2 linked regions of the Sus scrofa genome follow. The protein of the gene in region 1 purifies or fractionates together with the protein of each later gene. This does not show direct contact. Links are inferred from orthologs where the notes say so. Each region holds a gene or a part of one and is shown on either strand. Other genes may lie near its edges.

The links. The genes of interacting proteins can lie anywhere in the genome.
Region 2: the proteins of DCAF7 (region 1) and CCT5 purify together in Homo sapiens (affinity purification with mass spectrometry; 4 studies listed by BioGRID and IntAct, counting the BioPlex papers as one, with this or other methods). This does not show direct contact. The link is inferred for Sus scrofa from reciprocal best matches to the Homo sapiens genes DCAF7 and CCT5.

What each region holds. Positions count from the first base shown.
Region 1 is NC_010454.4:15,347,789-15,352,820, forward strand, and holds the start of DCAF7 (DDB1- and CUL4-associated factor 7), read right to left. Parts: upstream 3,209-5,032; 5' UTR 2,957-3,208; coding exon 2,819-2,956; intron 1-2,818. UniProt on the Homo sapiens protein: Involved in craniofacial development. Acts upstream of the EDN1 pathway and is required for formation of the upper jaw equivalent, the palatoquadrate. The activity required for EDN1 pathway function differs between the first and second arches.
Region 2 is NC_010458.4:72,219,770-72,225,098, forward strand, and holds the start of CCT5 (T-complex protein 1 subunit epsilon), read right to left. Parts: upstream 3,434-5,329; 5' UTR 3,286-3,433; coding exon 3,181-3,285; intron 312-3,180; coding exon 251-311; intron 1-250. UniProt on the Homo sapiens protein: Component of the chaperonin-containing T-complex (TRiC), a molecular chaperone complex that assists the folding of actin, tubulin and other proteins upon ATP hydrolysis.

The DNA.
Region 1 (5,032 bases):
AGCATTTCCTTCCATTATAAATGGAGGCAGCTACTCACAGCAGCATCCATATCTGATTTGTCACCAATAGAAATCACCGATGTTTTTCCTATCACATTACAGTGAATATACTGAGATGCTGTTTACCCTTATGGGTACTTCAAAATTAATGATTAAAATGGTTGATGTGATTTAATGAGTTAATTTAAAAGTACGCATTACCACTTAAAAAAAATTTTTTTTCAGAACTGCCATGTTTCAATCCCTTATTTACATGGGGGAAACTGAGACAGGACAGTCAGAAGCCAGTTCCCTTAATAAAAAGAGCCCAAACCACTAGCCCAGGACAGACAAGCTCTCCTGCCCACTGCTTCCCTTAGCAGTATATTCACTAAACCTCTTCTAACCTACTTCTAAAAAAAATAAATAGTTTTGCCTTTTGCTATGCTCACGGCACTCGAAAGTTCTAGGGCCAGGGATCAGATTGAACCAGAGCCATAGCAGCAACTCAAGGCGATGCAGTGACGACACCGGATCCTTAACCCGCTGCACCATGAGAAAACTCCAAAAAATGTTTTTAGTAACTATGAGTCATATGGTTGGTTTCCTTTGTAATCCCATGTATTTTATGCATTTGAAAACATAATTATGAACAGAGGTCTATTGGCTTCCGACTGCCAAAGCTGTCCATCAAACACATATACACACACAAGAACTCTGACCTGGGGCAGGGGACACAAAAACCATTTTAAGACACCACGTTGCCCACATTACGCAAGTGAGTTAAGACAGAGGTAACTGCTTATTCTATTACTACTGGGATTATCAATTAGCATTTTACGACTAAAACCACACTGCCTGCGTGCCTGGCACAAAGAAGGAGCTCCATAATTGAAAGGATAAATTTGGGGGCAGAGTTCCTGCAACCAAAGTTTGACACCAATTACTCCACTGATTCTACCAGCAGCCTAACTGTGGCTTGGTTTCTCATCTCTTAGAAATGGGGCTGCTACTGCTTACCTAAATTGACCTTGCAAGAAAAAAAAATCCATCCGTCTGTGTGAAAAGACTCAAGCCCTTTGAAAGATGTATTTTACTACCACCCCCCCTTTGTTTAAACATGTATTCTTAAACAACAGTTCTAGTGCTCTCAACTTTACTAATTCAGTTTACACATCAGGACCCTGAATTTCACTTTAGCAGCTCTGCGGTCCACTATGTGCCATAAGGAAGAAAGAGGCTCCAGAAGAAAAATAAAGCTATGTCTTTTCAGGACTCTCTGGTTTCTGTGGGAAATCGTGGACTCCGAGATCAGTGCATACTTTCAGGGATTTGTTTGTAAAGTGTGTATGTGGGATGTCTGGGCAACAAGAGTCCATTGTTCTCATCAATTTCTCAAAAAGGATTACAAAAAATTTAAGACCTAATTTTTTTGGGGGGAGGGAAGGCATACATACAGCATATGGAAGTTCCCAGGCCAGGGGTCAAATTGGAGCTGCAGCTGCCGGCCTACACCACAGCTCTAGCAACTTGGGATCCAAGCTGTGTCTGTGACCTACACCACAGCTCCTGGCAACGCCAGACCCTTAACCCACTGACCAAGGCCAGGGATCCAACCAGCCTCCTCATGGATCCTAGTCGGGTCGTCACTGCTGAGCCACAACCAGAACTCCTTAAGATCTAATTCTAAGATGTGCTCCTGAAAACCTGCAAACAAAATTACAATGCTCAAATGTTTTCTAAAGGACTTCTTTCCTACAACAAACTGTGGGTCAGAAATAATAAAACTTACCTATGCAGTGTCCCACAGCTAATCAGTGGACTAGACAAGGCCTAATCCTAGAGCACCTGGCCTTTTCCCCTGCACCATGCCTCTGCCCACAATTTATTCTTAAATTAGACTGTTCCTGGTGTCAAGCAGGTGTACAGGTTTTAAACACCACTAAGCATGGCTCTCAGTTGCTCTGATCACTATCAGTCAATCACAACGCTTACTCTAATACAATAAATGGCAAACTACGGAGTAATGGAAAGAAAATTCTTTCCACTAACTTATTCAACTTCCAAAACTAAATTTATGTGTCACTGCCAGCTTCAAGCTTCCTCCTATTAACCGCGCTTCTAAAAAGGATTCTCAAATTGTGGATGTCCAGAAAGACTTACTTCTACTCCAGGTTACTTGTCTGTATCAGCATGAAAGATGCCAAGAAAACAAATGGCAAGCATCACCCTTTTCTATGCAGAAGACAATAGCCATTGGCAAGATTTCCAAAAAGAGATAGCTTTGAAGAGGACGAATATGAGGCAGCAATAGCAATGGCAATCCCGGCAGAAAGGCTGGGGAAATCCAGGGAACAGGGGGCGGTGAAACCTGCTAAACAGTCCTAATAGAAATCTAGTGTGGCCAGGGGAGAAGGACCACGGGGCTCCAGCATCTTCTTCGCAGCCATCACTCCCTCATCCCTCCTCCGCCCCCCAACTGAAGCTGCAGGAGAGGAGGGGATAGGCGTGATAAACGGCACAGCTCTGCGCTGCAAACTTGGGTTTGAGACCTGTTTCCGTCACGCAATAGCTGTCTGACTGGGGCAAGTCACAACACGGTGCCTCAGTTCCCCCATCGGTAAAATGCGGGTAACTACACTCCTGACTACCCAGGAATGCTGCAAGGATTAAATGAGACGAGAGCGAAACCCTCTGCACAGGGCCAGACACAGAGGAACCGCTCCGTGGCGCTAAGGCAGGTCCGCAGGAGGGTCCTGGGGTCTGAGCTCCGGCCGGGAAAGGGCGCTCCAGGTGCCCGCGTCCCTCTAGCTGGGTTCCGAGCCCCTGCCCGGCCCACCTTGTTGTTGTACTCCTCCACGAAGCTGCCCAGCGCCAGGCGAAAGCGCTTGTCGGGCCGCACGCTCCAGTTCATGGCGTAGACGGTCCAGGGCGCTTCATACTTGTAGATCTCCTTCCGTTTGCCGTGCAGGGACATAGTGGCGGCGGCGGGGCCGCAGTGCGGGCCGGGACGGCAGCGAGCTGCGGCGGGCGGGGCGCGAATCGGGCAGGGAGTCAGGCCTGGGACGGAGGGGTCCGAAGGGAGGCGGGGCGGGGGCGGGTACGGACAGCCTAGCCCGGAAGCGGGGCCGCTGCTACAGACAACGACAGCCGAGCCCGACCCCCACTTTCAAACCTGCTTCGGCTCGGACAACAACCACCTTCCGTTTGAGACCCCGCCCCACCCTCTAGAACGGAAGCCACGCGACCCCCTCAGCGGCGCCGGCCGTTGGCTACCTGACACGTCCTTTCGAACGGCTCCTTCTCCTCATTGGCTAGTGTACCCGTAGCTTCTGAAACCTCCTTGCTATTGGTGCGTATGGTTGTCATTCCGATTACTTGCTCTGCCCAACTCCAGGGGGCAGGCGCTTTCACAGCCACAAAGGTCATTGGCTGACAAAGATGTCAGTCAGAGAGATAACGGCGCAGTGCGGGTGAATCGGGGTGTGGGCGGCTTAAAAGCTCGCGTACTGTGCAGCAGGCCTCCAAGTTCTAGGCCAAGTCTCTGAGAGTGAAACCTCTTACGTGACTGCTCTGACTTCCCCACTGCAGCTGCTATTCTGACCGGATTCTCCACGTTGGCGAGTGAAAATGAAAAGTCTGCCTTACGAGAGGGCCTGCTGCGTTTCGCGGCACTGAGCTCCCGGGCCTTGCGGACGGGCCTGCGCCGAAGGGAAACCCCTTTATTTCCCTGCTTCGCCAACGCCTCCTTTAAATTGGAATGTTGTTCTCCCAGCGTACCAAGGGCAGACGGCGGACACGCCGCTCTACTCAGGACCAGGCCAGCTTCAGTCAACCTTTCCTGGCCATTCTAGAAGTGCTTGGAATTAGAGGATTGGTCTTCAGCAGGCAGCAACCCCGCCAGCGTGGCTGTCAGCTTCTGTTTCCATCTTTTCCCACGAGCGTCCCAAGGCAAATGCTAATCTAGCCTTAAATATATAAGTGTCTTGAATTTGAAATGGGGAAGGGTCAGAATCTAGGTAACATCTCTTTATAATTTAAATGGTTTCCAATAATTTGCTTTCAACAAAACTAAGCAAAAAATTGTATTGAATTGTTAGATAATATATCATTAAATATAGTATTTAGTGGAGTTCCTGTTGTGGCTCAATGGAAACAAATCTGACTAGTATCCATGAGGACGCAGGTTCGATCCCTGCCCTCGCTCAGTGGGTTAAGGATCCGACATTGCCATGAGCTGTGGTGTAGGCCAGCGGCTACAGCTCTGATTCGATCCTTATCGTGGGAACCTCAATAGTTAGGGCACATGTGACCTTAAAAAGACTATATATATATAGTTTTTAGTGATAAAAGTGATTGTTAACAGAAAACTCAGAAAGAAGGACGCACGTTTGATCACCAGCCCCACACAGTGGGTTAAGGATCCAGGGTTGCCACAGCTGCAGTGTAGACGGCAACCGCAGCTGGGATCTGATCCCTGGCTAGGGAACTCCATATCCATGTGCTTCCAGGTGGCCAAAAAAAAAAAAAGAAAGAATTCAAAGAATTGAGTGACTGAGTGACACTGTTTAATGTAACAAACTCCTCACAGTCCTATCCACTTCCGTAGGTGAACAAGTTTTCTGTGTTTATGTCTTCCTCTAATAAAAAAATAATATTCATTCACATACATGGACTAATTGAGAGGAAAATACCCTCTCTTAAGAGCTGTATTTCCAGTAAAATTTTAGTTTCTATAAAAATTTAAATAGAGAAGAGTTCCCGTTGTGGCTCAGTGGTTAACGAATCCGACTAGGAACCATGAGGTTGCGGGTTCTATCCCTGGCCTTGCTCAGTGGGTTAAGGATCGGGCGTTGCCGTGAGCTGTGGTGTAGGTCGCAGACATGGCTCGGATCCTGAGTTGCTGTGGCTCTGGTGTAGGCCGGCGGCTACATCTCTGATGAGACCCCTAGCCTGGGAACCTCCATATGCCACAGGAGCGGCCCTAGAAAAGGCAGAAAGACCAAAAATAAATAAATAAATAAATTTAAATAGAGATATTTATGTTGTTTTG
Region 2 (5,329 bases), on another chromosome or scaffold:
TCTATGTGCCACGGGTGCGGCCCTAGAAAAAACAAACAAACAAAAGTTACATTAAGTCGGAAAAAACCCTGACCTAAAACTGTAAGCACATCATGCCCACAACCACGTTTAAGGTCTGGATCACAACAAATGTTTGCCCATATTGGGGGAGGATGCATTCCTTCAATTCCTAACTTTCTGTAAAGAGGTTGTACTGACTATTTTATGATTTAAACTTGTTTTACAAAACACAGAATGTTGTGTCTCTTACCATTTGGTCCAAGTGATGTTTTCATTGTATTCGCTACGGCCTTTGCTGCCATTATGTGAGACTAAACGAAACAGAAACAACCAATATTCAAGTTATGTATAATTTTAAGAGTTAAGAGCATATAACTGATGGTTATAAAATCACTTACGACATAGTCTGCATTCTCTAGAAGAGGCAGCAGACAGGTCCTTACCTAACTGTGACAACTCCACAACTGGTGGTGTTAGGAGAGAATTCCCACATACACAGACAGAACCAAATGCTCTCCGCATTCTCTCTTTAATCCTCAGCCCATCTATGAGGCAGGTAGGTTCTCAGGGCCCATTTTACAGCCAAGAGCATAGACGGTCTGATGTGACAGGCCTTGCAGGTCCACCGTGAGACGCTAACCTCATCCACTCTCCTCTCTCAAATGGTCCAGCCAGCACATAATCCACAACCAAGAGTCACCCGCCGAGGGGGTCAATGCTGGAAATAACGGGAGCCCGAATGCATCCTTTCCTCCTTCTGCACAATTACACTCATTTTCCCTCTGAATGTCTGCTTTCCTGTCTCCCTATTCTTCTTCTTTTTTTTTGTCTTTTGTCATCTTAGGGCCGCACCTGCAGCATATGAAGTTCCCAGCCTACGGGTCCAATGGGAGCTGTAGCCGCAGGCCTACACCACAGCCACAGCAACGTGGGATCCGAGCTGCATCTGTGATCTACACCACAGCTCATGGCAATGCCGGATCCTCAACCCAATGAGTGAGGCCAGGGATTGAACCCGCGTCCTCATGGATGCTAGATGGGTTCATTAACCACTGAGCCATAATAGGACGTCCCCTCTCTATTCTTGCTGTCACCAACATCATTAGCCCAGATCCACAGCACCTTACAAATGCCCAGGGTCTCTTATGCCATCCTTCAGTCACCCTCCGGCCAGCTGAGCCATCCATTCTTCTCAAACATGTTGCTTATCAATCCCCAGACCTAAAATAGCTCCCCAGTACCTCAAGCCTCTTTGTTCAAAGCCGTCCAGTCGGAGCCTGGCTTCCTTTCACTGAGGACAGTCTGTTCCCCCAATATGGCCTGATCCCCGAAGCACTGATGCACAGAAGGCCCTCCACCCCAAGATCCTGACAACTTCCTAAGCAGTTCAAGAGCACGTGTTCTGTGAAGGCTTCCCGTGCCACCCCATTTAGCAGGTAACAAAAGACACAAAGTTCACTAGGTTTGCAGAGATACTGGCAGCCATTAAAATACACTCTGATGTCTGTACAACGGAATTTCTAAAGGATACTAACATGGGGACGTGGTTCTTAATCAGGGGTGATTCGCCCCTGAGGAGACCTCCAGGCAATGTCTGGGGACATCTTTGGTTGTCACAATTAGGAAGGGGACCATAGGGGGTAGAGGCCAGGGATGCTGCTAAACATCAGAACAGGACAGATGCCACAACAAAGAATGATCCAGCCCCAAATATCAATAGTGCCAAGGCTGAGACGTAGGCCTCAGACCACTGACCGCAGAATCAGACAGAGCTGGGCGTGAACCATGGAACCTGATCTTTACCAGCGCTGGGACCGCAAGCAATCATCTACCTGCTCTGGGGCCAAGTTTCCAATTATATAAAATAATACCTGTCTCAGAGTGTGAGAATTACATGAGATGTGGCTGACACAAAATCACCTGTAGCTTCTGTTTTTGGGGTGCATGCATTGAGTGGCACTTTCTCTAATGGTCCTTTCAGTGAAAAATGGAATTAAATATGTAACACAAGTGGCTCGCCTACCTACCATGGGTCAAAGATTGGATAAGTTACCCCATTTAATTTCCCTCCCAAGCCGGAAAGAGGTGTGCTGCCCCTGCTGGGAAAGGAGGTTCAGAGAGGTGGTGTTAACTTGTTTTAGGTCAAACAGTTCAGGGGAGAAAGAACTGCACTGCTTCTTAAATAAAACCCCAAGACACTAAGCAAACAGGGACACCTCAGGCCTGGCGACATGGTCTATCTCAAAGCCTACTTCCTCTGGCATAGTTCTACTTGTGATTCTGCTCAAAACCCCTCCATTGACCGTCTGAAGGATCCCCTCCAGCTTTTTCCTGCACTGCCTCCCATATCCCGTGGTTCTGGTCACACACTGCCTTATGTCATAGTTATTGGCGACCACTTTTCACTCTTTTTTTTTTTTTTTTGGTCTTTTTGCCATTTCTTGGGCCGCTCCCACGGCATATGGAGGTTCCCAGGCTAGGGGTCGAATCGGAGCTGTAGCCACCGGCCTACGCCAGAGCCACAGCAACGTAGGATCTGAGCTGTGTCTGCAACCTACACCACAGCTCACGGCAACGCCGGATCGTTAACCCACTGAGCCACGACGGGAACTCCCACTTTCACTCTTGTAGTAGTATTTTCTTCCTTAAAGGTGTACGTTTTCAGTTTTTATAATACCACATCCAGGATTACGCCGTGCATAGAAGGACTCAAAAATGAAATGCGCTGTCAATGACTAAGCCTTTAAGGAAGCAACGAAGAGTATGAACCTCTTTTCCTTTGGGGCTGTCGCAGGTATACCGACTGAAGGTAAAGAAGCAGGGTCCTAATCTGCCAGGGGACCCGAGAAATACCTCCTCTGCAGCTTACTGATACATGCGCCGTCGGAACGACAGCACGCTGGAGAAGCCAGCGGGGACGCGCGTTCTCCGCCTGTGAATTGAGGCTGCCCCACCCAGCTCTGGAGAGCGCTTGAGGGACACCCAAACCCTCAAACTGGGACTAAAGGCCTCTATGTTGGTCTTTCCCAGGCCCAAGGCGTTGGGTGCAGCACTGGAGACCAAAGAGGGGCTCCCCGACCTTCCCCGAGAGCACATGGCAGAACGGCTCTTAAATGTGCGCACGCGCGGAGCCAGGGGTTCGGGGTCCTCCGCTCATCCAGGGCGTCCCAGTCCCGTTACCTTGAGGGCCTCGAGTCCCATAAGACGAGACTTGCGGTCTTGATCTTTGATGATGAGAAAAGGGCGGCCATATTCGTCGAAGGCGAGGGTCCCCACGGACGCCATGGTGCGGCAGCAGCAGGAGTTCTCTCCCGCAACCGGCGGTGTCCACTCCGGAACCGAGAGAGTACTTTCCTCTCGCGGGAGGGCGCCAAGAGCTCGCGCGTGCGCAGCACAGGCCGCTCGAGACTTATTTCTCACCTGAGACTAGTTTAACGCCAGACAGTACCTTCTGGAATCAGCGGCCTTCGGCAACTTCTATCATCCGGGAAGCTGTGGGGGGGACAGTTTGAAGACACGAACGCGAACTTTAGAACCCACAAGCCGGTAGTAGATAGGATTTAGACACTTATTAAATCTGTAAAATCTGATGTTTCTCGATAGTGCTCCCAACGATGAGATCATTGACTCAGAGCATTGTTTTCTCCCTCCTTCCCACCCTGGCTTCGCGAAGATGGTAGAGTCCGCTTTTTTTTTTTTTTTTTTTTTTTTTTTTTAAACCTGCTGGAAATCTCGCGATGGAGGGAGGAAGAGGTGAGGTCAGCCCCGCGCGCGGCGCGTAGTTTGGGCCGCGGTCCTGGGTGCGGGCGCGGCGTAGGGCTCGTAGTCGTCTGTTGAGTCTGTGGTGCAGCGGGTCCGTGTCGGCGCAGGGGGGCGGGAAGTCGCGGGCCGCTGCCTCGGCTCGAGGCCTGGCGTTTGGGGCTCAGGGCTTGTGCGCGCCTCGGGCGCGTGCGCTGGTACTGGGATCTGGCCGCCGGGACCGGTTCCTAGCGTTTGGAGGCGAATAAGTCCCTTAGTTCGGCGCGGTCTTATACGATGTGTACTGGACTCACACTGTCGGGGTGGGGGTCACAGCTCTGCCGCTTACCAGCTGTGTCTTTGGGAAGGTGATTTGTCTGCAAAAATGGCAGTGGTAGCAATAGCTTCTCTCTTTACCGCTGCTCTACGGATTCAGGGGAAACAGTGCCTGGCCCTTAACAAGCTCTGTTCAAGTGTTTGTTAAAGAGATAGCTGTTTTGCACAAATACTCCAGTAACTTGCCCAAAGTTAGCTAGGAAGAAGCAAAATTGCCCAGTCTTGATCTGAGTCCCACTCTGAAGCCCTACGTTATGGTGCCTCCGAAAGATCTCTCTTAGCAACTTGTCTAAAAAGTACCAGATCCTCTGTTGCTTTTTCTTTGGAGCACAAATCACGACGTAATGTTTTCTGGGTTTAGATTTATTTGTTGTGGGTTTCGTGCCTCCCTGACCTCCATCTGACATAGAGTGGGACTTGACTCGTATTATTCCTAGCTTTTATTGGATACTCAAATGTGGAAATGGATGCATGGATTATAACATTTAACCTGTGGCCTGAAAGTGAGGAATTGACTTTGTCACCAGGTGGTTGATCATTTAACCCCTCCTGATACCTGGCCCACTTACTCTGTAGCTTACAGTGATGCTCCAAGGCCATTTTGGCTTTTGGAGCCACATCTCAATTCACTTTAGCTTGGCCAGTTCAGTGTTTCCTTATTCAGAATAACAAATCCTGTAATCCATTTGGCTCATTAGATAGTTATGAAGTGTAGGAAATGTGTAATGATGCCCGCTGTGCAGTTTTTCTTTAAAGCATGGGGAAAAAAGGGTTTTCCTGTTAATGTATTCTGTGTATAAGCAAGTACACAATGAACAGCTCGAAGATACTATGACGTTCAATTATAAACCCCCAGTGTAAATTCGTGTGGCAGGTCACAATTCCAAATAGGCCTCTTGTTTCTTCCTGGCCTTTTTCCTTTGGCTCAAACTTGGATAAAGACTCCTAAACCTTTGTGGGCTTATGTTGCTGCCTCTAGCTTTAGCTGGCCCACATCTGTCACTGAAAATTGAGATTTTTCTGTCACTACCAGAAGTCAGTAACCAGGCAAGCCTGTAGACAGCGGAAGTTCACTTCTTTGGGTCTTTTACTTACAAGGATGGACTTGTTCCTGGGCTTAGCAGGAACAGCTGGTGGTCCCATGGCTTTCTTTTAAAGGAATGCTGCCGCCTTCAAAAGGACATGTCGGATGGAGATGGTATGTTTTTTTTTTTTTTTTTTTTTTTCTTTTTAGGGCCACACCTGATGCTTATGG